Linked DNA regions of Rattus norvegicus. The protein of the gene in region 1 purifies or fractionates together with the protein of each later gene. This does not show direct contact. Links are inferred from orthologs where the notes say so. Each region holds a gene or a part of one and is shown in the gene's direction. Other genes may lie near its edges. The genes, in order: Hsf1, Bag3, Hspbp1, Hnrnpa2b1, Hsp90ab1, Fbxw7 and Smarca4.

Region 1 (3,456 bases):
GAGAGGTGGGGCTGCAGTACCTTTATCCCTCCTATCACCTTAGTGGGTCAGCCTTTATGGACCTTGGGGCAGAGTTGGAAGTGGGTGGAGCTAACTCAGGCTCCTTCTAACTTGTCTGTCATTGTCTAACATGTTCAGGCCTCTGTCCAGCAGCACCCTGGTCCGTGTCAAGGAAGAGCCCCCCAGCCCACCTCATAGCCCTCGGGTACTGGAGGCAAGCCCTGGGCGCCCAGCCTCCATGGATACCCCTTTGTCCCCAACTGCCTTCATTGACTCCATCCTTCGAGAGAGCGAACCTACCCCTGCTGCCTCAAACACAGCCCCTATGGACACAACCGGAGCCCAAGCCCCTGCACCCCCAGCCCCCTCCACCCCTGAGAAGTGCCTCAGCGTAGCCTGCCTAGACAAGTGAGTGCTGTGCCCACCCTGCCTCCCTATAGCCTCTGAACCCCAACAGCATGGGATTTCCTCAGGCTGGGCACGGGGTACCTATGTCTTAGTGAGGCACAATCCCTGCAGTTTGCTGGGAGTTGATGGGTTGGATCTGTTCTCCTAAACCTGAGTGAGGTTGAAGCTGGGGAGGGAGACCAACCATATCACTAGAAATGGGATATGCCCCTGCCTCTTGGGCCCCCCTTACTACTGCCATCACCCTCTCTTGTGGCAAGCCCCAAGATCTTTGGATCTGTCATTCTCCCTAGACCGACACAGGAAATGATGAGTTAAGGTCCAGCCTTGACCACCACCCCTCAGGCACATCCCAAAGGCTGAGTGAGCGAGGACGGTGGGCATAGATCCCCCGTCCCCCGCCTGCAATGGGGGGGCTCTTGTCTTTGTATCTTGCAGTTTGGCTCGCGCTCCACAGATGTCTGGGGTCGCCCGCCTCTTCCCCTGCCCCTCTTCCTTTCTGCATGGCCGAGTCCAGCCAGGGTTAGCGCTGCCCCCACTTGGGAGGGAGGAGGACTCCGCCAGGCCCCCTCCCACAGCCATGGACCAGTTCCCAACCCGGGCATAGCACTTGCCCTGCCTGGCGAAGAGCACCAGGGAATGGTCTCACAGGCTCTGCATCTCCACTGACTCCCTTTGCACCAGCCAGTGGCCGTAATAGGGACAAGTTTCCTGCCTGCCCCAGCTACCAGTACAGGCTGCTACGATGAGCTTCCTGTCAGAGTAGGGCAGGCCCCATGGCACCTACAGAGCCATTTTAACTGCCTTGCCCATGGCCTAAGGCCTCTGGTCTAAGGGAGGACTACCCATGCCAAGCACAGTCCTGTTTCCTCTCCTTACTCTATTCCTGGTGCAGTGGCAAGACTATCAAACCTGAAAAATCTGCCCTCCTATCCAACAACACCTCTTTCCTTCTTCTCCATCTCCCTCTTGGCCTGCCTTAGTAACTAAAGCCTCCTAGGATGTCCTGCCCACGGGCCATGCTATATCCCTCCCTCAGCAGCCATGGAGGGCAAGCTCACTACTAGCCCTTTTGGCATCTTCCCAGAGACACACACACAGTCCCCAGCCCATGCTGGCTATGCAGAAGGACCTTGCTTGGGGGGCTGCAACCAAAGGGGAGCCCTTCTCCAGCAGGAGTGCGGCTGGGTGGGAGCCTGGGGCATTAGTTCACCTGCCCACTTGCCCTGGGCCAGGAACGAGCTAAGTGATCACCTGGATGCCATGGACTCCAACCTGGACAACCTGCAGACCATGCTGACAAGCCACGGCTTCAGTGTGGACACCAGTGCCCTGCTGGACGTGAGTCTGGTCATCCCTACCCAACCCGCTCCATCCCACCCACAAGCCAGCCCTGACTTCCCTCCCTCCTCCTGCAGCTGTTCAGCCCCTCGGTGACCATGCCCGACATGAGCCTGCCTGACCTGGACAGCAGCCTGGCCAGCGTGCGTAGGCGGGCAGGGTGGGGGGCAGAGGGGGCCATCAACAACCCTCACTGTGTTCTCTGTCCCACAGATTCAGGAACTTCTATCTCCCCAAGAGCCTCCCAGGCCTATTGAGGCAGAGAATAGTAACGCCGACTCAGGTGAGCTAAGCTTCTGTGCCCCTCCCAACTCTCACTTCCAACTTGCCCACCCCCACCATCCTGACCCCATTTCCCACAGGAAAGCAGCTGGTGCACTACACGGCTCAGCCTCTGTTCCTGCTGGACCCTGATGCTGTGGACACAGGGAGCAGTGAACTGCCTGTGCTCTTTGAGCTGGGGGAGAGCTCCTACTTCTCTGAGGGAGATGACTACACGGATGATCCCACCATCTCTCTTCTGACGGGCACTGAACCCCACAAAGCCAAGGACCCCACTGTCTCCTAGAGGTTTCAGTTGTCAGGCTGGCTTGGGCCTGGCCCCCAGCCTATTCCTAGGACACGGCTGGTCCTGGGGAGACAAGACAGTTGGGTAGTCCAGGGAATCCTAGGTCAAGCCAGCACAACCCCAGTGGAGCACAGATGGGACTTGGGCTTGGGCAGTACCTTGGATCAAGAGGAAGATCCTGAAGGCTGCATACCTGCTGCCTTCACCCCAGCCCCAGGTCTGCTCTCTGGGTCAGAGCTTCACAGCCACACTTGGACTGACCCTGCAGGTTGTTCATAAAATTGTATTTTGGATTTTTACATGAGAGTCCCCTTTAACCCTTCACAAATAAATATATATATACATACATATATATATATATATACATGCACACGGAGATGGGCAGATGATAAACAGGTTCTACTGTGGCCTCCTGTGTGTTTCCTCCTGCCCTGAGGGATCTGGAAGGTGGGGATGTAGGCAGGGAGTTCAGAACTTACTACATGTCTCCTTGGAAAAATACAGATACCTGTGATACCCCCTAGACCAACCTTGATCTACAGAACTAGTATTTGCTCACAGCTTTTTCTTTAGGGGACCAATCTGGCCCATGCTGTTGTCAGCAAGAGTGTTCTGCATGGCCATGCTGGACACGTTGGCAGAGCCAGGCCCTTATCTGTCAGGCACTGGGCTGCTTCTGAAGTTGTTCCTGCTGTCTCGTCTCGCACTGGGGGAAAGCAGGTGGAAATGGCCTCACAGGTGGCCTAAGGCAGCCAAATTTACTGCCCACCCTGCCTAGCACCAGGTAACCACCTAACTGCAGGTTAGGGTCTGTAGCCTGGCAGACTCTAGCGGTAGATAAGCACAAACCTCACCAAGGCAAGGACGAAGACCTTGGATTGTCAAAAAGACTCTTATATAAAAGTCCTCTGTCTAATTTGGCAGCTACTAAAACTTGGGGCAGAGTATTCACTCTCTTCAGAGCTCTATGTCAGAGCCAAGGGTAGTTTGGAAGAGTGAGCCAAGCCCAGTCAAGTTTGACCTCTGCAGCACAGCCTAGAGCCACTAGCCCAACTTGTTGAGCAGCCTGATCTCAAGGAGTTGAGACAGATCCTAAAGGTACAATGTGTAGAATTCCTGGGCCCCAAGCAGTGTACAAA
Region 2 (3,500 bases), on another chromosome or scaffold:
CTTTGTTGAGACAGTCTCTTATGCACCCAGGCTGGCTCCAAAGTTGCTGTATGCCTGAGGATGACTTTGAACTTCTGACCCTCCTGCTTTTGTTTCCCTGGTGCTGGGGTTATGCGGTGCACCCCTGAGTTGGGTTCATGTGCTGGTGTCAAACCCAAGGTCTTTTACACACTGCTCAAACACTGGCAGTTGACTTACAGCCCCAGTGGCCCCTGCCACCCCCAGTAATGCTTGCCGCTCTCACTTCCTGTCACTTCTTTCTCTGTATCATCTACTCACTCTAACTATTGCTTGAGAATTGCTTGCAACTAACACGCCTTTCTGGATACGTGAGCAAATATTTTCCCTAAGAAATACAACCAGAGTAGAATGGCCAGATTCTGGAAATTTAATATTCTTCCAATAGCATATTATCCAGTTTACCACCCACTTTCAAATTTCCTACCCAGCACTTTCCCCTTTGGGGGTCTGATCCAGGAGTGCAAACACTGACTTTAGCTGTCACTTCCCTTTAGTCTCTGGCACGGTTCCTCAGCCTCTCGATGCTTCATGACCTTGACATTTCTGAAGAGCAGAGGACACCCTTTCCTAAGTTTATCCTTACACAGCCTTTCCATTGCTTTTAAAACCCACGGTGGGATGGCTGCGAGGAGGCGGGCTGAGCGGTGAGGGTTGATGTTGGGCAGGAAGCACTTGGTGGGAATGGAGCACACCAGCGAGATAGCCACCCACTCGGGATTCAGTAATCCCGGAAGGAGTGGTGAGAATTCCCCTGGGGACTGCCCCGTGTTTCCTGTAGTGAGTGAGGGAGCCTTTAATCCTAGTTCGACCTCTACTGACCTTGAGTTTGGTAGCCTTTCTTTTACTTCTTGTTCAAAGAACCGTTTTTTTAGAGTGTTGAAGGATTTAGCTTATCTGAACATGAAAGTAGAAAGAATTAAAGCTCTACCTGGGATGGAGTAGTATAGCATTTCTTCTCAGTTGATGAAACTGGGGCATGAGAGGGTTTGGAGTCCGGGTAATCATTTAGATGCTAGAAGAGCCCCACTCGGTTCCCATTTGGAGCATGGTTTGTATTTTAAAATATGACCTTGACCTCAGTCCCCTGGAAGGACTTTGCAGCCGGATGCCAGTGTAAAGCATCATATCACAGCATTGCATCAATATGCAGGGCCTGAATTCTTCCAGGGTTAACTATTTCGAGCATCTTGCTTTATTTTAAAAAAAACAAACTGGTCCGAGCAGAAAGCACTAGGCTGTTACAAGTCACCTTGAAAGGGTACCCAGGAAGTGAGACTTTTTACAGCAAGACCCGAGGCAGCATCTCCGGCCCAGGGCTGAAGTGGAGTCAGTTAGAAATTACTCTGAGCAAACCCCACTGAGCAGCCAGCATGCTGTTTCATTTTTGAAAATGACAGTGGCTGGCTTTCCTTGCCTGTAAGACAGAACAAGCAGGTAGTGAGCCAATCACTGGAAGCTTAGCAGATAATTTGGTCACATTCATGATCAACATCCAGTTTGCATTTTGGTTGGTGGCTGCCCTCAAAAAGATCTCAATATGGGCATAGAGAAATGGCTCGGCTCTTGATTAAGTATGGTTCCCAGTACCTGTGTGGGTGCCTCACAACTTCCTGTAGCTCCAGTTCCAGGAGATCTGACTCCCTCTTCTGCCTTCCAAGGGCATTGACATACATACAGATCGCATATACATAAATACAAATAAAATTTTTTAAAAATCTTTTTTTTTTAATGAACGTCATTTTCTAGGCTCTGTGGATAAAGAGCTTGCAAGCCTGACAGTCTGAGCTCGGTTCCCAGAACCCACGGAGAGGTGGAAGGGTAGAATGGAAGCTGTCCCCTGAGATCCACGTGTACACGGGTCACAAGTGCCTGCAAACACACAATTAAAAGAGTTATTTCCAATTTCCTTTTTTTTTATTTCTTTGCTTGCTATTAACTGTGAATTATTGCTTTAGGCTGTTACAAAAAGTTTGTGTCCTCCTTTCTCAACAGCCCATGACCCATCGAGAGCCTCCCCCTGTCACCCAACCCGAAAACAAACCAGAAAGCAAGCCAGGCCTAGCTGGACCAGATCTCCCTCCTGGACACATCCCCATTCAAGTGATCCGCAGGGAGGCCGACTCTAAGCCTGTTTCTCAGAAACCACCTCCTCCTGCTGAGAAAGTGGAAGTGAAGGTCTCCTCTGCCCCAATTCCTTGTCCTTCTCCCGGCCCCGCCCCTTCGGCTGTCCCTTCTTCCCCGAAGAATGTGGCTGCAGAACCGAAGGCAGCCCCCAGCCCTGCCCCTGCAGAGGCTGCATCCCTCAAGTCAGGAGACGCCGAAGCGCCCCATAAGCATCCAGGCGTGCTGAAAGTGGAAGCCATCTTGGAGAAGGTGCAGGGGCTGGAGCAGGCCGTCGACAACTTTGAAGGCAAGAAGACTGATAAAAAATACCTGATGATCGAAGAGTATTTGACCAAAGAGCTGCTGGCCCTGGATTCCGTAGACCCCGAAGGACGAGCTGATGTCCGTCAGGCCAGGAGAGATGGCGTCAGGAAGGTTCAGACCATCTTGGAAAAACTGGAGCAGAAAGCAATCGATGTCCCGGGTCAGGTCCAAGTCTATGAACTCCAGCCCAGCAACCTTGAGCCCGAGCAGCCACTGCAGGAAATCATGGGCGCCGTGGCAGCCGACAAGGATAAGAAAGGTCCTGAAAACGAAGATCCACAAACTGAAAGCCAACAGCTAGAAGCCAAAGCCGCCACGCCTCCAAACCCCAGCAGCACAGCAGACTCGGCTGGCAACCCGGTGGCTCCCTAGGGTCCGCGTTGTAGAGACTTTTTAAGATGCATGCACTGCGGGACTTGCAGTCAGCTGGTTGTCTTTATTCATAGCCGCTTGGTATGCAGTAACTTGGGGTGGAGGCAAAGCGCTAACCAAGGGGGCTTCTCTTCCCTATTCTTACCCGTATAAATAAACAAGTTGCCCGTTCCAGAAGTCTAACCCCTCTGCTTGTTTGGGAGCCCTTTCTGTGCATGGGTATGGTGATTTAGCCTTGGCTGTGGGCTGTCTTCCTGTTAGCTCTGGACCGTAGGGGGTTTTAGGTTTTGAGGGATAGGCAGAGAGTTACAGGAACAAGAAACCCGTCTTTGAGATGTGCCACCATTTTGATGAGATAACCTTCATTTCGTTACTGAAACATCTAACTTCAGCTACAATGAGATATGCAAGGAGCCGTAGAAATAGATCTACGTTGGAATGGCTTTAATGTTGTTACATTTCGGGGAGGGGGACAGAAAATAAAGCGATTGTATAAGTCTCAGTGGTTTTTGTGGTTTCTAAGAGTTTGAAGAGTGACAAATAGCATCAAGGTTGTTCCAGTGGGGGACCCCATATAACAAACTGGGCACAAATAACCCATCAAGGAGCTCGGTGAGAGTGTTCTTGTCTCAAAATATGAGGTAAAGAACAATCGAGGGCGACGGCCCACGTTGACCTCT
Region 3 (3,500 bases), on another chromosome or scaffold:
GGCTGTGAGTGAGTTGGAGGCCAGACTGAAATATATGAAACCTCATCTTAAAACCCATAAGTTCAGGGTTGGGGATTTAGCTCAGTGGTAGAGCGCTTGCCTAGGAAGCGCAAGACCCTGGGTTCGGTCCCCAGCTCCGAAAAAAAGAACCAAAAAAACCAAACCAAACCAAAACAAAAAACCCATAAGGTCTGGGGAAATGATTCAGTTGGTAAAATGCTTGCAAGCATGACAACCTGAGTTCAGATGCCCAGTACCCATGTAACAAGCCAAGCATGGAGGCTTGGGGCTGTAATCCCAGAGCAGGGGAGTCAGAGAATGGGGAGTCCCTGGAAGTCTCTAGCTGTCCAGCCTATTGTGACTGGGGAAGCTACAGGTTCAGTGAGAAATCCTGTCACAATAAACAAGGTGGGCAGTGACTCTGGACAAGATCAGACATGACTGCTGAGTTCCACATGCACGTGCATATGTATACACAAGAACACATATAAACATACACGTATTATGTACACAAACAGAAAAAGACCCAAAATAAGTAAACAGCTGAATGAATGAGCAAATAGATAAAATGGGAGCCCAAGGGAACCTACTTACCTATAGGTATAAGTCAAAAGTAAAAGGTAACTGCATAAAAACGTGTGCTTCTCTAGCGACAACTTTGGAAATTTGGCTTCTCTAAAAAACATGAAAATATTATAAGAATATGTTTTCGTTTTAATCCCAGTTGTGGGGAATGGGACTGCTTCAGATTATCCAAAGCAGCTATGATTTGCCTCATGCTCTAACAGGGGCGTGGTTTTACCAGCTGCAGATAGTTTCTGTGATTGTTTGATGTTTGTAATTCGGGAACTTATCAGAGGATATGTAAATGCTCGGGGGTTCCAAGAGGCAGGGGTGGTTGTTGGCTACTGTCGGTCATGGTTTGTTAAGTAGTCAGTGGGACACAAAGAAGAAACAAGAAGAAATTAGATACTGACATTGAAGATCAATCTTGCCCCAAGGAACTCAACACCTTAATCAGCAGGAAGTAGTCTAACAAAAACATTGTCCGCCCCCCTTCCAATCTCTGACTTTATTGAGGGATCTCTTTCCTTTCCTCTCTATCCTTTTTTCCTCTTTTATCCAGTGTTAGGGGATTGAAGGGGTGAAAGAAAAGGGCCGGAGAAGGATGGAAGAAAGAAGAATCCACCAAGTAGCAAAAGACAAGTTACATCCCCTATGATCAAGTATTGCTCTATTGTAAGAGGAAATGAAGTAGTTACAGGATTTATAACATGGATGGACCTTGAAAACAGTTGAGTGAACAAGACTAGATACAAAGGTTCCATATTGTGTGAGTCCATTCATATGAGGTATCCAAGGTAGGCAAATCCATAGGGAAAGAAACTAGATCGGTGGTGGCAGAGCAGGAAGCAAACTGAGAATGGGAGTGTCATCCACTGGGTACCGGCACAATGTAAATGTTCTGGAGTCAAGTGATAGCAGTGGTTGCATTGCTTGTAAACATGCTAAAAACCGCTGAGTTAAATGCATTAAGAGAGTGAAATATGGGTTATGATGGTGAACTACTTACTATATGATGGTGACAGTGGTGGTCATGCTGCTGCTGCTGCTGACAGTGGATAGTGATGATAGTGGTCATGGTGGTCATAGTACTGATGGTCGAAGTGGTGATTGTGATGATAGTGCTGTTAACAGTGATTGTGGTGCTGGGTGGATGGAAGTAGCAATTACGTAATGATGATAACGCTGGTTTCCGCGGTAATAGTGATATAGTGGTGAGGGTGTTGTTCCTGGCTGTAGGAATGGTGATAGAGGGGATGGTGGTGGTTAATGGAAATGGTGGTGGTGGTCACAGTGGTGACAGTGATGTTGATGGGTTTAGTAATGGTGATGGTATTGTGGTGCTGCTGCTGGGGATAGTGCTAGAAATGATGCTCATTGTGATGGCACTGATGATAATAGTGAATGGGTGGTGTTGATAGTTGTAGTGACTGCGATGGTGGTGATGGGTATAGTACTGATGATCATCACGATAGGCATGTTGGTGTTTCTGGTGATGATGGAGGCCATGGTGACTGGGACCTCAGAGCTCTGCTTCTCTCTCCAGGTCTTGTCCGAGAGCAGGAGGCTGGATTGCTGCAGTTCCTCCGCCTGGATGGATTCTCAGTGCTGATGCGGGCCATGCAGCAGCAAGTGCAGAAGCTCAAGGTCAAGTCAGCATTCCTGCTGCAGAACCTGCTGGTGGGCCACCCTGAGCACAAAGGTGAGCTGGCTGACAGGTTAACAGATGCCTTGAGAAAGACATCTGGGAAACATGGGAGTGGTATGGGAACGTCCTTCCTGACTCCCACAGCTCTTCCCCCAGGAACCCTTTGCTCCATGGGGATGGTCCAGCAGCTGGTGGCCCTTGTGAGGACAGAACACAGTCCTTTCCATGAGCATGTGCTTGGAGCCCTGTGCAGGTAGGTGTGCTGGGGTTCTAGGAGGAAAGGGCCTTGTATGAGTTTTTCACAGAAAGAGCAGCTCAGGCACTAGTCTGTTCCTATACTGGGACCCCCCTGCACTGGAACTAACTCTGTGGGACACAAAAAGATTGTAGGTCAGAGAGGTGCAGGGATCACACAGTGCATCTCTTTTCAGTTCTTGGGAGGGAGAAACCCTTCTTACAGTTCTCAGGGTGAACAAATTAGTGTTCTTGGCCTTTTCATCCTGCAGGCCTTAGGCCACATGTACCCAGAATGCTGCCTGTTAGCATTTCGTTTACGCTCTGCCCCACAGTTACCTGGCAAAGGCCAGGTATGCCTGACTCACTATAAAAGAGGCTACCCCCTCTCCCCATTCTCCTCCACCTCTCTCCACGTGCTTATGACTGCTTATGGCCAGCCTCCACGCCTCTCCCCTCCCCTCTCTTTCCCTCCTCCTTCTCTGCCTTTCTCTGTCTTTACTACCCTCTCAACTGCCCTCTCCAGGCCCTGAATAAACTCTATTCTATACTATAGGATTGTGTAGCTGGTCCCTCAGGAGGAAGGGATGCCTCAGCATGGGCCTGTGGAAGTACCCTTCCCCCATACCTAACTACACATCCACCAAACACATTTTCTCTTTCCTTATCTTTTTATAAAACACAACACTGCCCAATACAGAATTGTAAACTTAAAGCACTGTAAGATTTCATATATATAATATATATTATATATAATTTAAAATATATATCATTTTATATTATGTTCATCGGTAAAGTAAAACCTTGAATGTACGTTTGTGTGTGAGTGTCAGAAACTCTGAACTGAAATCACAGACAGGTGTGACCCACTGTATGGGTGCTAGGAATTGAACCTGGGTCCTCTGGAAGAGCAGCCAGTGATCTTAACCACTGAAGAATCTCTCCAGCTCCCACATTGTAAGATTTCCTTCCTTCCTTCCTTCCTTCCTTCCTTCCTTCCTTCCTTCCTTCCTTCCTTCCTTGGTTTTGGCTTTTTTCAAGAAAGAATTTCTCT
Region 4 (2,187 bases), on another chromosome or scaffold:
TGTGCATTTTTTGTACATGTTTCTCAATACAAACCTCTTTAAACCTATTGTAACATCTGGAGAATTTGTCTTAAGATGGACATGTAAGATGTAGTCAAGGTTTTTTCTGTCAGAATTTAACTTTGTATTTATTGTAGGAGTCTGGGAAACCAGGAGCCCATGTGACTGTGAAGAAACTGTTCGTTGGTGGAATTAAGGAAGATACTGAGGAGCATCACCTTAGAGATTACTTTGAAGAATATGGAAAAATTGATACTATTGAAATAATTACTGATAGGCAGTCTGGAAAAAAAAGAGGCTTTGGCTTTGTTACCTTTGATGACCATGATCCTGTGGATAAGATTGTCTGTAAGTGTCTAGGCACGTGAGGTGTGGTTGTATAAAAAAAATACTGGGTACATTCACTAAAAATTGCTTAGTTGGCATTAACAAATTATTGTTTTTATTCCAGTGCAGAAATATCACACCATAAATGGTCACAATGCAGAAGTTAGAAAGGCATTGTCTAGACAAGAAATGCAGGAAGTCCAAAGTTCTAGGAGTGGAAGAGGAGGTAACTATTTGTGTATATGTGTGTGTGTGTGTGTATGTGATTATTTGTCTGCATTATTGCTACTAATCAGAATATAATGTCCTAGGAAACTTTGGTTTTGGAGATTCTCGAGGTGGCGGTGGCAATTTTGGACCAGGACCAGGAAGCAACTTTAGGGGGGGTTCTGGTAAGTTTCTATTTGGAGAGCTTTTGAAGGGTGTGATATACTTGCTTTATGAATAGAAGGGCTTCAGTGAGATAAACTCAATAGAATTTGCCTTCGGCATGAAGTGTATAGTGTAGAGGAAGAGAGGAGAGGAGAGACCCTGTACTCTGACACAGTGAAAATGTCCTTTGACCACCATGTACACTGGTTCATATATGTATTCACACATGCTTATTCAGTGAACACATAAGTTTAAAAGTTAAAGCTGTATGGGATATGAGTAAGATTTGAAAAAACCCAGAAGTAGCAGGGTCCTAAAGCATCACAGAAATCCATCAACTAGGTGCTTACATGCATGGAAAATGGGTTGCATATAGGTTACACATGGTGAACACATAGCCAAAGGTTGAATGAACCCTAGCACCTGAAAACCAGACAAGATAACTGTAATTCAATAATTGGTAACAAGAGGCACACATTAAAGTACTTTGAATTCAATCAAGGCTTTGACTTTCCACCACCTGTCCCCCAACCAATATAAACTAGTGAGATTTCTAGCCATCCTCATTCTGAGATATTAGTGGGGAGAAAAATTAAGTGTAATTCTTACTTTCTTTAAACAGATGGATATGGAAGTGGACGTGGATTTGGGGATGGCTATAATGGGTATGGAGGAGGACCTGGAGGTTAGTGTTCATTGATTATGATTTCTGTATCTTAATACGCATAATAACATTGAATTTGGTGTTTGGTTTATATATCACTTTTGCCTATCAAAGTGCTTAGAGGTAGTGGTCAATTGGCTTTTAAAGATGAGTTTTGTAACTAAGCAAAGTTGGCTTTAACCTACTTTACAGTGTAAAATCATAAGTTTGAGTTTCCATTTCATAAAAAACTAATTGAACCTAGATAGGGAGTTCTGTGCTTTGTAGAAAAGCTAGAATATTGGAATTATAAGACAATGCATTTATGTAATAAGTTCTTAATATACAGGGGTATTATCTTTGTAGTCCTGGGTTTCATGTAGACCAGGCGGGCTTCACATGCAGGTATGACTGCCAAGACTTTATAAATTTTGCTAGTATGCTGCCCTTATTTCTTCCTCAAAACTATAAAGCATAAGAATTTGAAATACCGATTCAAAGGAGTTTTGTGGGATTAAAGGTTACTCTAAGTTGCTTCATGTTTACCCAAGATTAGATATTTATCTTGCCTTTGAGTCTATTCTAGAATAGACTATATAAAATATGTTTTTGAAAAACCAGAAATGAGTGTAATAAAGACAATTCAAATGGAATTGAATAATTTAAGCAATTACTTAAAGGCTTATTTTATAATAGGTGGCAATTTTGGAGGTAGCCCTGGTTATGGAGGAGGAAGAGGAGGATATGGTGGTGGAGGACCTGGATATGGCAACCAGGGTGGGGGCTACGGAGGTGGTTATGACAACTATGGAGGAGGTAATAAATTCATCTACAACCTTTATGTT
Region 5 (4,178 bases), on another chromosome or scaffold:
CAAGCTTCCAGATGCAGCCTTGGAAAACCGCAAGGCTAGATTGCCAGCTGAAGGACAGGCAAGGCATGGCGGGTCACCTCCAGAACCAAAACACTGGTGCAACTTGGTTCTGGCTCCTGGAACCCGGCCAACCTGTGACCAGCATCTTCATGCGGATACCTTAGAGCTCTCGTTAATCTGCAAAGACCGTGACCTCCTCCTCTCTAGGTTCAAAGAGCTGCAGTAGGGAAGAGGGCTAGCTAGAAAAGCGAAACCAGCTTGAGAAACAGCTTGTGCTCGCAAAGGGAAGGCACATGTCCCCGCGCGCCTTGTACGTGGGCGACCCGGGAGGCTGAGGGTTGGGGAGTGTTCTACCCAGTAGCGTTCGGTTTCCCGTCTCTGTTCACAGAAAGGTGTCCGCAGTCACTCACCCCCACAGCCCCCGTGCCCTGTGACCGATCCAGGTCAGCCATCCCTCCCCCCTCTGCGCTCCACACCTCCACAGTAATGTGGGCCTTCCAGGGCCACGAGTCGTACAAACGTAGCCCATGGTACAGAGACTTGGGGAAAATATTTCCCCAGGTTAAGATCGTGGCAGAGAAAAAGAACCAGCCGAAAGGCGATGAAGACACAGCCCCCGCCGCAGCAGGGGAGGTGGAGCCTCGGGGGGAGGGGTTGAGACCGCCGAGACAGGCCTAGAAACTGCTGGAAGAAATCGAAGCACCGCCACTGCTGCTCCTTCCGCCACAGGCCGCCAAAGAGTCCCTGCTAGCCCAGGCCCGCGCCCCTCCCCTCGGAGAAGCTGCTCCCCGCCTGCCGCTTCGCTGTACCGGGGAGGGTGGGGATCAGGGACTCCTTAAAGTTGGACAACGAATTTCTTATCATCCTTTTCTCTCGATGTGCGATTTGTAGGGAACATTCTAGTAAGATCGGGTCTGAAAATGGCAGCCGAATTGGTCACCTCCGTTCTCTTTCAGAAGTCCCTTGAGGACTGGACTCTTGAGGGTGGGAGCGCCTACATCGAATTTTCTGCGCGAGTCCGTGGGGTATTCGCCGCAGATACATCCCCTAATAGCATATGCATGCTCCCTGGCCATCTTGAGGGCTACATGTCCTACTCATGCAGAAATGAGGGTACCAAACGCTATTGAATTGGCCTTGACTCGCAGCCCAGGCCCGGGGTCCCGCTCTTCCCCGCCCCCTCCCCGGTCTGCGAGCATGACGTCAAGGTGGGCGGGCGGTGGCAGGTGCGTGGCTGGCAGCCACTCCTTTAAGGCGGAGGGATCCAAGGGCGGGGCTAGGGCTGTGCTTCGCCTTATATAGGGCGGTCGGGGGCGTTTGGGAGCTCTCTTGAGTCACCCCCGCGCAGCCTAGGCTTGCCGTGCGAGTCGGACGTGGTCCGGGCCCACCCTGCTCTGTACTACTACTCGGCTTTCTCGTCAAGGTAAGGCCGCGCTCTCCTGTACTTGGCGGCTCCGTGGGTCTTCTTCCTGGGGTCTCCGCCAACATCTCATCTGAACTAAAGGCTCCTTGTTGGGCTGGGCGGTCTGCGGGGATAATGTGCCTAGAATGTCTCCAGTGGCTCATGGTGGACCCCGGCGGGCTTGCACCGCGAGGCTCCCCCGGGGCCGGTGGATTCCCCAGAGCGTGAGGTGGGGGTGCGGCCGGGCCAGGTGGTGGGCGGCCGCACGTGGTAGCCGCCGACCCGGGACGCTGCCATGTTTGCCCTCCACTTCCGGGCGCGGCTGCAGGGTCCATAGGGTCCGCGCGGTGGCGGGCTGCTATGTGCATGACTCAGCAAGACGAGGTTGGCCTGGCTACCTCCCCCGGACGCGTTTCCCAACGTGTTTTGTTCTGGGGAGGGGTACAAGGGTTGGCAGGAACGCTTGAACCCACTGCGTTTGTCCCTTTCCAGATCTTTCTGCTGCCCTCCCCGTGGAGTGGGAGGAGAAACGGGGAGGGAGCAGGTACGGGGAGATTCTTAGGTCCCTCCCTTACTCCTCCCCTCCCGGGAGCTCAGATTGTTCTGGAAGCCTCGGGCGCCCCGCCCCAGTGCCCGGATGCTGGGGCGGTGGGAGGGCTACAGTGGCGCCCCCTCCCCGTGAGTCTCCTGGCGACGCATGTCCGGGTCGCCGGACGGCTGGGCCACCATTTTACTTGTGTTTGGGCCTATGCAAGTCTGCACAGTTCAGCGTTCATGGTGGAGCTTTTTACCTCTTTGTCCTGATTTAATTGCCCTTTGAGTCCTTCCAGAACTATAGCTTCGGGTTTTCTTGCCCTGCCGAGGGGAAGAGCACAAATCCGTTTACGGGAGGCTGCTCTTTCTGTTAAAGTTGATACTTAACCCCAGTGAAGAATGAAGAAGAAATTGGGGATCTTATTGTATAGTTAACTCAGTCTGGATTTTTACTATATCGGCAGGTGTTCTGTTCTGAGTCAGGGAGCTGAACTCTTAATATGCCGTTCAAAAAGTCTGACATTTGGACATTAGTTTGAAGAGCCATCCTTTGGGTTTTTTTCCATTCTTGATTTGTCTTGCCACTGTAGCTTTAAGGTCTTTCTTTTATTTCTTTCTTTTTTTAAACAAATGGCGGTTCTAGTCTTGGGAATGGGTACTACCCAGATTAAAGAAGTTTGAACTGAACTTTTAATAAGACTTTCATTCTTAGATGCCTGAGGAAGTGCACCATGGAGAGGAAGAGGTGGAGACCTTCGCCTTTCAGGCAGAAATTGCCCAGCTGATGTCCCTCATCATCAACACTTTCTACTCAAACAAAGAGATTTTCCTCCGGGAGTTGATCTCTAATGCTTCTGATGTGAGTGTTCTGTTGAATTTCTAAGACGCCACAGAAGAGTGTGAGTGAGTGAGTGAGTGTGAGAGAGAGAGAGAGAGAGAGAGAAGCAGGGAGTGATTAGAGTAATCCAGCAGTTGATGAGAAGGAACTGTTTGGATAAATGGAATAAGTGGCTGTGTACGTGTACATTACAGGCCCTGGACAAGATTCGGTATGAGAGCCTGACTGACCCTTCCAAGTTGGACAGCGGGAAAGAGCTGAAGATTGACATCATCCCCAACCCTCAGGAACGCACGCTGACTTTGGTGGACACAGGCATTGGCATGACCAAGGCTGACCTCATAAATAACTTGGGAACCATTGCTAAGTCTGGTACAAAGGCGTTCATGGAGGCTCTCCAGGTGCGTGTGTGGCCTTCCACCCATGCCATTCTCAATTTGTTACTGCTTCTGGCTTGCTAATTTAAAACTTGTCAGACTAGGATGTGTGGTCTGTCTTTCTAATAAGTACTTGTGGCCTAGATTCTGGAAGTTGAACTGATTACTACACTTGCTCAGCAAGCGGTTGTGCTTGTACAAGAACAGTTTTGCTCACTCTCTTACAACCCTTTGCAGGCTGGTGCAGACATCTCCATGATTGGGCAGTTTGGTGTCGGCTTCTACTCTGCCTACCTGGTGGCAGAGAAAGTGGTTGTGATCACGAAGCACAACGATGATGAGCAGTATGCCTGGGAGTCTTCTGCTGGTGGATCCTTCACTGTCCGTGCAGACCACGGTGAGATGGCAGTCTACGTTGGGTTGGTAGAATTCTCTGGGGGAAAGCCAGAAAGAAGCAGCCTTAATAGTTACTGTACTCTATAAAAGTACATTTTTGAGGGGTGAATGGCAGCACTTGGGACATGGCATACACGGGTGGTGGGTGAGTTGAGGCAAGCCAGGGCTGTGCAGAAACAGATCGCTTGAGAAACCAGGAACAAAAAAGAGGTGTACCTGTTTGTTGAGTATTTTAGTTGCAGTTTTTCATGTCTGGTTCACTCTCTGTAGGTGAGCCCATTGGCCGGGGTACCAAAGTGATCCTTCACCTCAAAGAAGACCAGACAGAGTACTTAGAGGAGAGGAGGGTCAAGGAGGTGGTGAAGAAACACTCACAGTTCATAGGCTACCCCATCACCCTCTATCTGGAGAAGGAACGCGAGAAGGAGATCAGTGATGATGAGGCAGAGGAAGAGAAAGGGGAGAAGGAGGAGGAAGATAAGGAGGATGAGGAGAAGCCTAAGATTGAGGATGTGGGATCTGATGAGGAGGATGACAGCGGCAAAGATAAGAAAAAGAAAACAAAGAAGATCAAGGAGAAGTACATTGACCAGGAAGAGCTGAATAAGACGAAGCCCATCTGGACCAGAAA
Region 6 (3,941 bases), on another chromosome or scaffold:
TATTTCCCAGACCAGAATCTGTAAGACAAACGGCTTAATAGATTTATTAATAACATACCTCTACCCCCCCACCCCCGGCCGCTAACACACACAGTGGGAGAGGGAGGGAGGAAGGGAGAGAGGAGAGGTATTGAGACTTGAGAGTCGCCAAAATGTTTTGAAGACGGTAAGGGGCACTCTGATGAACAAAATCAGCTCTCTAAAAAGTTCCCCCAAATCTAAACGACAAACAAGAATGACTCTTAAAAGGGAGGCTGTTTTCCAACCCTAGTAATTTCGCCTCCTTTCCCACAAAAGCCTGAAGTTGCGACTCTCAACAAACAGCCTCTCATCTCTTTCCTTTCATTGCATGTGGCGGGTGGGGGTGAGGAGGGAGATGTATTACAACTCTCACGTTTCTACACTTCAATTTACAAAACGCTTGCGCTTCCACCATCACCTCGGAGTTCCGCTAAGGCTGTGCTAGAGGCAGGCTTGTATACACTTATACACACACACACACACACACACACACACACACACACACTCACTCACTCACTCACTCACTCACTCACTACACAGAATGCAGCGCCAGGTTTCACCCCACGCCACGGGAAGGGTGGGGTGGCTCGCTCCGGGGAGCAGGTGCAACCTCTGGGCTGTAGGTTAACTTTTCCACCCGTCTCTCTGTTTGAAGATCTGCTCCGGACCAAATGCCTCACCTTCGGGTGGTGCGCGCCCTAGCCCGGTCCCTGGCCTCCTCCTCACTCCCAGAGGAGCAGTTCGCACCTGCCCCGGAGGGAACGGCTACGGAGCTCTCTCTCCGCGCCCTAGGGTCAGGGGTAAGATTAGGCGGTAGCTTAGGCTCGCCTGGGCTCCTCCCCTTCCTCTCTTCAGTTCTGACGCGGCCGTAGAGGCGGCGGCGGAGGCAGCGGCGGCGGTAGCAGCAGCAGTCCCGCGGCCCGAGGCGCACCCACCCGCTCCCAGATCTCGACTTCCTTTTCCCTTTGTGCGTCATCAGAACGCGCCACAGCCTCCCAGGGCGGGGTGGCTGGAGATGGGGAGAAAAGGCCAGCAAAGGAAGGCGCAGAGTGGAAGGGGAAGGGAGGGAGAGGAGAGCGGTTGCTAGGCGACTTACGTCATCGCTGGGCGCCGCTCTCCTCCCGCCCCTCTCTGGAGTGAGGCGAGAGCCCCGCACAGAGCGAGAGAGACAGCGAGCTGAGCTTCGGGCGCTGCCGCCGCCGCCGGTGAGAGCGAGTGAGTGAGCGAGCGAGCATCCGAGAGACCCGGCACCCGTGCACTGGCCGCCGCCGAGACCTTCGCCGCAGCCCGGGCCATCGGGAGCCGTGGCCGCCGTCTGCTCCCCCCCTTACCTTCCCGGCCGGCAGCGGCTGCTGCACACGCCGAAGCGGGAGCCCCAGCCAGAGCCGGAGCCAGAGCCGGAGCCGGAGCCCGCGGCCGGGGGGCAGGGAGGCGGCTGCCGCCGGTCGGGACTCGTAGCTGCTCAGCCGGGAGAGGACGCCCGCGAGGGGCTGGGCTTTCTGCCTCGCCCCGGAGTGTGGGGCGAAGGACCCCCCGAGGTGTAGGGAGGGGGTCCCGGCCGCCGCGACACATGCGGGAGCCGGGAGCGGGGGCGGCGCCGATCCGAGCCCGCCGGGTCCCCAGCCTTGCCGCCGTCCAGACCGGCCGACCCGGGCCGTAGCATCCCATAGCGGAGTGTATGAACCGGGGCCCCCAGCCCAGGAGCCACCTCCGGGCCGGGGGGGCGGGGACCCCGATGTGAAACGGCCGCGGCGGCGTGGTGAGCGGCCCGGGCGCCGCTGTCCTCTCCTTCCCCTCCCCTCCCCTTCACCCCCTCTGGGGGGCTTCTCCTTGGGCCCGCCGCCGCACCCCGGCTCCTCGGCGGGACTCCAGGAGTTCTCGGCGCCCCCTCCCCGCCCCAGCCCCCCAGGGCGGCGGGGCCGGGGGGGACTCGGGGGGCCGGCTGCAGCCTCCGCCCAGAGGAAACTTTACCCAAACAAAATCTTCGAGCTTTCTGATTGTGACTGTCCCGGGACAAGTGGCCCAGGACGGGCTGAAGCCACAGCCTGCAGAGACCCAGGAAGAGAAAAAGCGGTGAGCGGGGCTGCTGCCGCTGCCGCCGCCGCCGCCTCAGCTTCTATCCCGGCAGCGCGGAAGAGACCCGGGTAGCTGCTCCGTGGAGCGACGCTAGCACCGCTTCTTAGTTCCGCGCCTAGCCTTCCGCAGCTGCCCGCCTCAGCCCGAAGGAGGAAGGGAGCCAGCCACATTGTCAGCGCCACCGCTCGTCTCTGAAGCGTGAGTGGACCCGAAGGAGGGGGGACATTATAAGGTGACAAGTGGGAGCGGGTGGGTGCTTTGATGGTGGAGTTGGGCTGTTTCTCGGGAGGGTTGGCAGTGGAGACCTTTCCTTTCTAATTTCGGGAGAAAGCGTCAGTTTGCAGGAGTAATGCAAGTACTCGGGCGTTTTTCTTAGAGGAGCTGTGTGGACAGCTCTGTCCTCTACCTTTTTCTGGCAACCTGATTCTGGCAGTGGTTTTTGTTTCAGGGAAACTCCCATGGATTCCCACGTGGGAATCACTTGAATCAACTCTTATTTTATTTTATTTTTTTTCCTTTCCTAACTATTGTTTTTGAAGTTGCCCTGGTCAGGAAGACCAATTTTGATTTTAGTGCAAAGAGGGGTTTGGTGCCCCCAGCGCTTTATTTCATAAGTCCACAGACTCCAATGTGTAGAGTCCTTGTTTGCATGTTTCATTTGGCTCAGGAGAATCCGAGTTCCTAGGATGCACAACTCGCTGAAACTTATTTCAGGGAGAGCACTTGCAACTTCTCTCTCTCTCTCTCTTTCTCTCTCTCTCTCTCTCTCTCTCTCTCTCTCTCTCTCTCGTCATCTATTTTAAGTGATAACACATTTCTACTAGGGACTGAAAGGACATGCATGCTGCTTTTCTTATTTGGCTCTACTTGTCAACATAGAAACTTGTACTCTTTTAAGAAAGCACTTAGCACACTGAGTGCTAAATTAGAGGTACAGAAAAGTAATGTTTCAACTATGTAAGGTTAAACTAAACATCTTAAGGCAAGTACTGTGGGATTTTGTGTAACAAGGAACATAGGCAGTGTAAGACTGAGAACGCCGGTCCACCCAGACAACTAAATTTGGGCAGAATAGAGATCCTCCGTAGAAATGAATGGAAACCTGGGAGTATCCATTTATCTATCCACCCATTCTAATCTCTCCATTTAGGATCTTGATTAAATTTCTTTGAAAGTTTCTCACACTTCACAATGTTCTCCCCTCCTCTTCTTAAAGTAAGGAACCTTCAAGTTTATTATTCTGCACTATGTAACAATTTACTTCTCTTTGTCCTGCCTTCTCAATCTTTCAGGATACAGTTTCTTTGAGGAATGCTAAAACACTGTGAGCTAATCTTACATTTCTTATAGACTTTGTTTGATTTCTCCTATCATCTGTTCCAACTTTTTTTTTTTTTTTTTTTTTTTTTTTAGTTTACAGGTTTCAGGTTGTTTATTTCAGTGGAAGTTGAATAAATATATTCAGTGGTCACAGTATTGTCATCCTATCCTCTGACACAGATATATTATCTTGATCTAAAACAAAATTAATTTTTGCACATAACCAGAGGCCCATATTCCACCATGGTCTTTAATAATCAATGAACCTAACTGTGGCCCTTTGTTCCAACTTTTTTTAAAAGACAGTTTTACTATGTTACCTTGACTGTCCTGGAATTATCTCTGTAGACCAGGCTGGCCTAGTATTCACAGAGATGTACCTGCTTCTGCCTTCTAAGTGCTGGCTGGAATTAAAAGGTGTGTGTCCTGACTGCCAGCCATGTTGAAACTTTTGTGGCCCCCCAAACCCCATTTCTTTGGCTATCTTTCCCCTCTTTCTGGGTCTTCTAGCTCTTTATGTTTTG
Region 7 (3,500 bases), on another chromosome or scaffold:
GCTTGGGGAGATGGGGTCTAGCATGTCCCTTTCTCTAGAGAACACCCCCATGGAGGTAGATAGATGGCAAAATAGTTCAGTATCCTGCCAACTTTGCTAACTGCATGTGACCTTGGCCATGTCCTCTGAGACGTATCTCTGGAAAGTTCATTTGGATATTTCAAGGTCTTCATTTGAGTTGTAACAGTGGACCTTGACTATCTTCTTGGTCTGAGGTGAATCATTACTTATTGAAATCTACTTTGTTTGGATGTGAACTAGAGTCATTCTCTGAGAGAGAAACTATCCAAGACCCTCAGTAGATACGTGACATGGAGAAAGCAGCAAACCCCACGCATGCTGTTTGTTTCCTTCACACACTGTTTATCAAGCAGAGTAACAAGAAGTAATGATAAAACTCATCAGCCCGGTTAGGGATTTAGCTCAGTGGTAGAGTGCTTGCCGAGCAAGCACAAGGCCCTGGGTTCGGTCCCCAGCTCCGAAAAAAAGAAAAAAAGAAAAAAAAAAAAAAACTCATCGGTCTGAGGAAACGGTCTGAGGACAGCGTGCACCGAACCTGCCCTTGCGATGCTGCTGTGAGGAAGCAGTTACTATGCAGAAGTAGAATTTGAGTGTAGCTATTCAGAACAGCACACTATTAAGACAGTAATCATTTGTTCCTGGAATTTTCCATTTAATATTTTTAGACTGCCATTGACCAAGGGCAATTGAAACGTCAGAGGTGAAGCTGCTAAAGGGGAGGGGCGAGCTTGCATAGAGGAAAGATGGGGGCCTGCTGTCGCTGTGAAGCCAGACAGAACATCCAAACACTTGCGGTTAGGGCAGAGCTATGGGAGAACTGACCTGGAGGGTAGGAGTGTCTGGGTTCTGGCCTAGGTGAGAGGTGGCTGGAAGGGCAGTCCTGGGGGCCCAGAGGTCAAGCAGCATACTCCACTTGCCTCTCCAGGACCCATGGCCAATGCTGCTGCCCCCACAAGCACCCCACAGAAGCTGATTCCCCCGCAACCAACAGGCCGCCCTTCACCTGCACCTCCTGCTGTCCCGCCTGCTGCCTCACCTGTAATGCCACCACAAACACAGTCCCCAGGGCAGCCAGCCCAGCCTGCTCCATTGGTGCCATTGCACCAGAAGCAGAGCCGCATCACCCCCATCCAGAAGCCCCGGGGCCTGGACCCTGTGGAGATCCTACAGGAGCGGGAGTACAGGTGAGCACCCAAGTGCTACACTGCCAGTGTGATTGCGAGGTACAAGGGAATGCTCTGTGGTCTTCTTAGGCTCAGTCCCTTCTAGAGCCTTTGCACAGGCTGCGTCACACCTTCTAGCCATCAAGTGAGGTGGTGGCCATTTCTGTGGTTCCTGGACCCACTCCCTCTCTGCCTTGTACTTGTACTCTGGCATTGCTGCCAGTGCTTACTGCTGTATCCTTTCTAATGGGACTGTGAGCCACAAGAGAGCAGACAACTTTTTTGACCCCTGTTCAGCTAAGATTCCATATGAGAAACTGCCTTGGCACACAGTAGGTGCTCCATAAATAACTATAGGAAGGTAAAGTAGGGAACTTTTTCCACATAGGTTACTGGGAGGGTTAACCTGTAGATAAAACATTGATGCTGCCCATGGGCTTTGCAGATTTCCATAGCCCTGGGTCTCATGCTGAAGCTGAGCTGCCTAATGCCATAGGCCAACTCTCACTGCCCTTATGGGATTAGCACCTGGCTAAGTCACTGTTCTAGTTTACTTTTCTATTGCTGTGGTGAAACACCAAAGCAATCTAGAGAGGAAAGGGTTTATCTCCCCATGGATTTCCAGATAACAGTCCATTACTGAGGGAAGTAACTTAAGTCAGGACCTGAAGCACAGGCTGGGGAGGAACACTGCTCTTGTTCTCCAACTCATGCACAGCCAGCTTTTCTATATAGTTCAGAGCTACCTTCCTCAGAATCGTGCTGTCAGGGCAAGGCACGGCGGTGTATGCCTTTGGTCCCAGCTCTCAGGAAGCAGAGGCAGGTAGATCTTCATGAGTTTGAGGCCAGCCTGTTCTTATAAGCAAGTTCCAGGACAGCCAGGGCTACGTAGAGAAATCTTGTCTCGGAAAAGAAAAAAAATTTTTTCATGCTTCCACATTGGGCTGGCCGTCTGCTCAAGCAACTTTTGCATTTGAGGTCCCCACTTTGCAGATGATTCAGGGTTGTGTCATCTTGACAATAAAATCTAGCCAGGAGAGTTGTCAAGTCTCAGGCTCGCTGTGGTCCCAGCAGGCCTGTTCTCAAAAGCACTCTGAAGCCGCTTGTGAGGTTCTGTGTGGTAACTGATGTCCTTTTTTTGAAGAGTCCCCTCCTTTGAAGGACAGACTGTTTATAGACTCTGGCTTTAAAGATAGAGACCAGGTGACTTCTTGTAGACAAATAGTCCTCACCACCTTTCTTTCCCTATCTTTGCCCAGGCTGCAGGCTCGAATCGCACACAGAATTCAGGAACTTGAAAACCTCCCTGGGTCCCTGGCTGGGGACCTTCGAACCAAAGCAACCATCGAACTCAAGGCCCTTAGGTTGCTGAACTTCCAGAGGCAGGTGGGTCTGTGGGCCTGGGTCAGTGGGGATGCTGGGCTCCAAGAATGCTTTGAGGGGTGTTATCTGGGATACCTGCATGGTTGGAGCAGTCAGGACTCTGGGAGAGTTAGTTTACTGTCATGGCTCATGCTTTGGCACGACCCAGCCATGCATAGTCTGTGCCTACATGGGTATGGGCTCCTGAGGTTGCAGTTGGCAGCTAAGGCTTGGTGAGTCTCTTCCTGAGGGTACTGTGCTTTTACACATCCCCTCAGGAACTGTATGTGTGGGTGTAGAAAAGTCCTGATCTCTTATGTTCTGTTCCTTGCTTGTTCTACCTGCTGTCTCCCAAGCATCCTCTGCATCCCAGACAGTTTGTTGTAGGATCATCTGCCCAGCATGTGCTCATCACTCTGAGCATCTCCACAGACAGCACAAACCCATCATGCCTTAATGCCAGTGTCTCATTTTCCACCCTAAAAGCTGCGCCAGGAGGTGGTGGTGTGCATGCGAAGAGACACAGCCCTAGAGACAGCCCTCAATGCCAAGGCTTATAAGCGCAGCAAACGGCAGTCACTGCGGGAGGCCCGCATCACTGAGAAGCTGGAGAAGCAGCAGAAGATTGAACAGGAACGCAAGCGTCGTCAGAAGCACCAGGTGTGTTTGCCTTGCAGGGTGTACTCTGCTGAGTCTCCCTGCAAGCCAGAGTGTCCTGGGCACAGCAGTGTGCCAGTGCACAGACCAAACGGTAAGAGAAGAGGAGCAGGGATCATATCAGGCAGCTTCAAGAGGTGGGAGAAGAGGAGCGGGGACCTTAAAGAAGAATCCACCTTGGACAGACGGAGCTCAGTGAGGTTTCTGTGAGGAGGCTGAGCAGAGAGACTTGAGCAAGGGTACAGTGCTGAGGAGGGGCTGGGGCTGGAACATGCTCCCATGTGTCATCTAGAAGTG

Evidence for each region.
Region 2: the proteins of Hsf1 (region 1) and Bag3 purify together in Homo sapiens (affinity purification with mass spectrometry; 3 studies listed by BioGRID and IntAct, with this or other methods). This does not show direct contact. The link is inferred for Rattus norvegicus from reciprocal best matches to the Homo sapiens genes HSF1 and BAG3.
Region 3: the proteins of Hsf1 (region 1) and Hspbp1 purify together in Homo sapiens (affinity purification with mass spectrometry; 5 studies listed by BioGRID and IntAct, counting the BioPlex papers as one, with this or other methods). This does not show direct contact. The link is inferred for Rattus norvegicus from reciprocal best matches to the Homo sapiens genes HSF1 and HSPBP1.
Region 4: the proteins of Hsf1 (region 1) and Hnrnpa2b1 purify together in Homo sapiens (affinity purification with mass spectrometry; 3 studies listed by BioGRID, with this or other methods). This does not show direct contact. The link is inferred for Rattus norvegicus from reciprocal best matches to the Homo sapiens genes HSF1 and HNRNPA2B1.
Region 5: the proteins of Hsf1 (region 1) and Hsp90ab1 purify together in Homo sapiens (affinity purification with western blotting; 3 studies listed by BioGRID, with this or other methods). This does not show direct contact. The link is inferred for Rattus norvegicus from reciprocal best matches to the Homo sapiens genes HSF1 and HSP90AB1.
Region 6: the proteins of Hsf1 (region 1) and Fbxw7 purify together in Homo sapiens (affinity purification with western blotting; 4 studies listed by BioGRID, with this or other methods). This does not show direct contact. The link is inferred for Rattus norvegicus from reciprocal best matches to the Homo sapiens genes HSF1 and FBXW7.
Region 7: the proteins of Hsf1 (region 1) and Smarca4 purify together in Homo sapiens (affinity purification with western blotting; 3 studies listed by BioGRID). This does not show direct contact. The link is inferred for Rattus norvegicus from reciprocal best matches to the Homo sapiens genes HSF1 and SMARCA4.

Annotation. Positions count from the first base shown.
Region 1 is NC_086025.1:110,100,710-110,104,165, forward strand, and holds the end of Hsf1 (heat shock factor protein 1), read left to right. Parts: coding exon 1-5; intron 6-138; coding exon 139-408; intron 409-846; coding exon of another isoform or gene 847-930; intron 931-1,643; coding exon 1,644-1,749; intron 1,750-1,826; coding exon 1,827-1,892; intron 1,893-1,962; coding exon 1,963-2,032; intron 2,033-2,111; coding exon 2,112-2,317; 3' UTR 2,318-2,956; downstream 2,957-3,456. UniProt on the Homo sapiens protein: Functions as a stress-inducible and DNA-binding transcription factor that plays a central role in the transcriptional activation of the heat shock response (HSR), leading to the expression of a large class of molecular chaperones, heat shock proteins (HSPs), that protect cells from cellular insult damage.
Region 2 is NC_086019.1:192,553,960-192,557,459, forward strand, and holds the end of Bag3 (BAG family molecular chaperone regulator 3), read left to right. Parts: intron 1-2,013; coding exon 2,014-2,820; 3' UTR 2,821-3,322; downstream 3,323-3,500. UniProt on the Homo sapiens protein: Co-chaperone and adapter protein that connects different classes of molecular chaperones including heat shock proteins 70 (HSP70s), e.g. HSPA1A/HSP70 or HSPA8/HSC70, and small heat shock proteins (sHSPs), e.g. HSPB8.
Region 3 is NC_086019.1:78,211,067-78,214,566, forward strand, and holds part of Hspbp1 (hsp70-binding protein 1), read left to right. Parts: intron 1-2,110; coding exon 2,111-2,266; intron 2,267-2,368; coding exon 2,369-2,465; intron 2,466-3,500. UniProt on the Homo sapiens protein: Inhibits HSPA1A chaperone activity by changing the conformation of the ATP-binding domain of HSPA1A and interfering with ATP binding. Interferes with ubiquitination mediated by STUB1 and inhibits chaperone-assisted degradation of immature CFTR.
Region 4 is NC_086022.1:81,870,700-81,872,886, reverse strand, and holds part of Hnrnpa2b1 (heterogeneous nuclear ribonucleoproteins A2/B1), read left to right. Parts: intron 1-137; coding exon 138-348; intron 349-451; coding exon 452-553; intron 554-638; coding exon 639-719; intron 720-1,321; coding exon 1,322-1,384; intron 1,385-2,038; coding exon 2,039-2,158; intron 2,159-2,187. UniProt on the Homo sapiens protein: Heterogeneous nuclear ribonucleoprotein (hnRNP) that associates with nascent pre-mRNAs, packaging them into hnRNP particles.
Region 5 is NC_086027.1:22,929,045-22,933,222, forward strand, and holds the start of Hsp90ab1 (heat shock protein HSP 90-beta), read left to right. Parts: upstream 1-1,378; 5' UTR 1,379-1,423; intron 1,424-2,648; coding exon 2,649-2,795; intron 2,796-2,968; coding exon 2,969-3,175; intron 3,176-3,388; coding exon 3,389-3,548; intron 3,549-3,817; coding exon 3,818-4,178. UniProt on the Homo sapiens protein: Molecular chaperone that promotes the maturation, structural maintenance and proper regulation of specific target proteins involved for instance in cell cycle control and signal transduction. Undergoes a functional cycle linked to its ATPase activity.
Region 6 is NC_086020.1:172,446,597-172,450,537, forward strand, and holds the start of Fbxw7 (F-box/WD repeat-containing protein 7), read left to right. Parts: upstream 1-1,141; 5' UTR 1,142-2,295; exon of another isoform or gene 2,296-2,329; intron 2,330-3,941. UniProt on the Homo sapiens protein: Substrate recognition component of a SCF (SKP1-CUL1-F-box protein) E3 ubiquitin-protein ligase complex which mediates the ubiquitination and subsequent proteasomal degradation of target proteins.
Region 7 is NC_086026.1:28,464,319-28,467,818, forward strand, and holds part of Smarca4 (transcription activator BRG1), read left to right. Parts: intron 1-946; coding exon 947-1,205; intron 1,206-2,443; coding exon 2,444-2,570; intron 2,571-3,032; coding exon 3,033-3,206; intron 3,207-3,500. UniProt on the Homo sapiens protein: ATPase involved in transcriptional activation and repression of select genes by chromatin remodeling (alteration of DNA-nucleosome topology).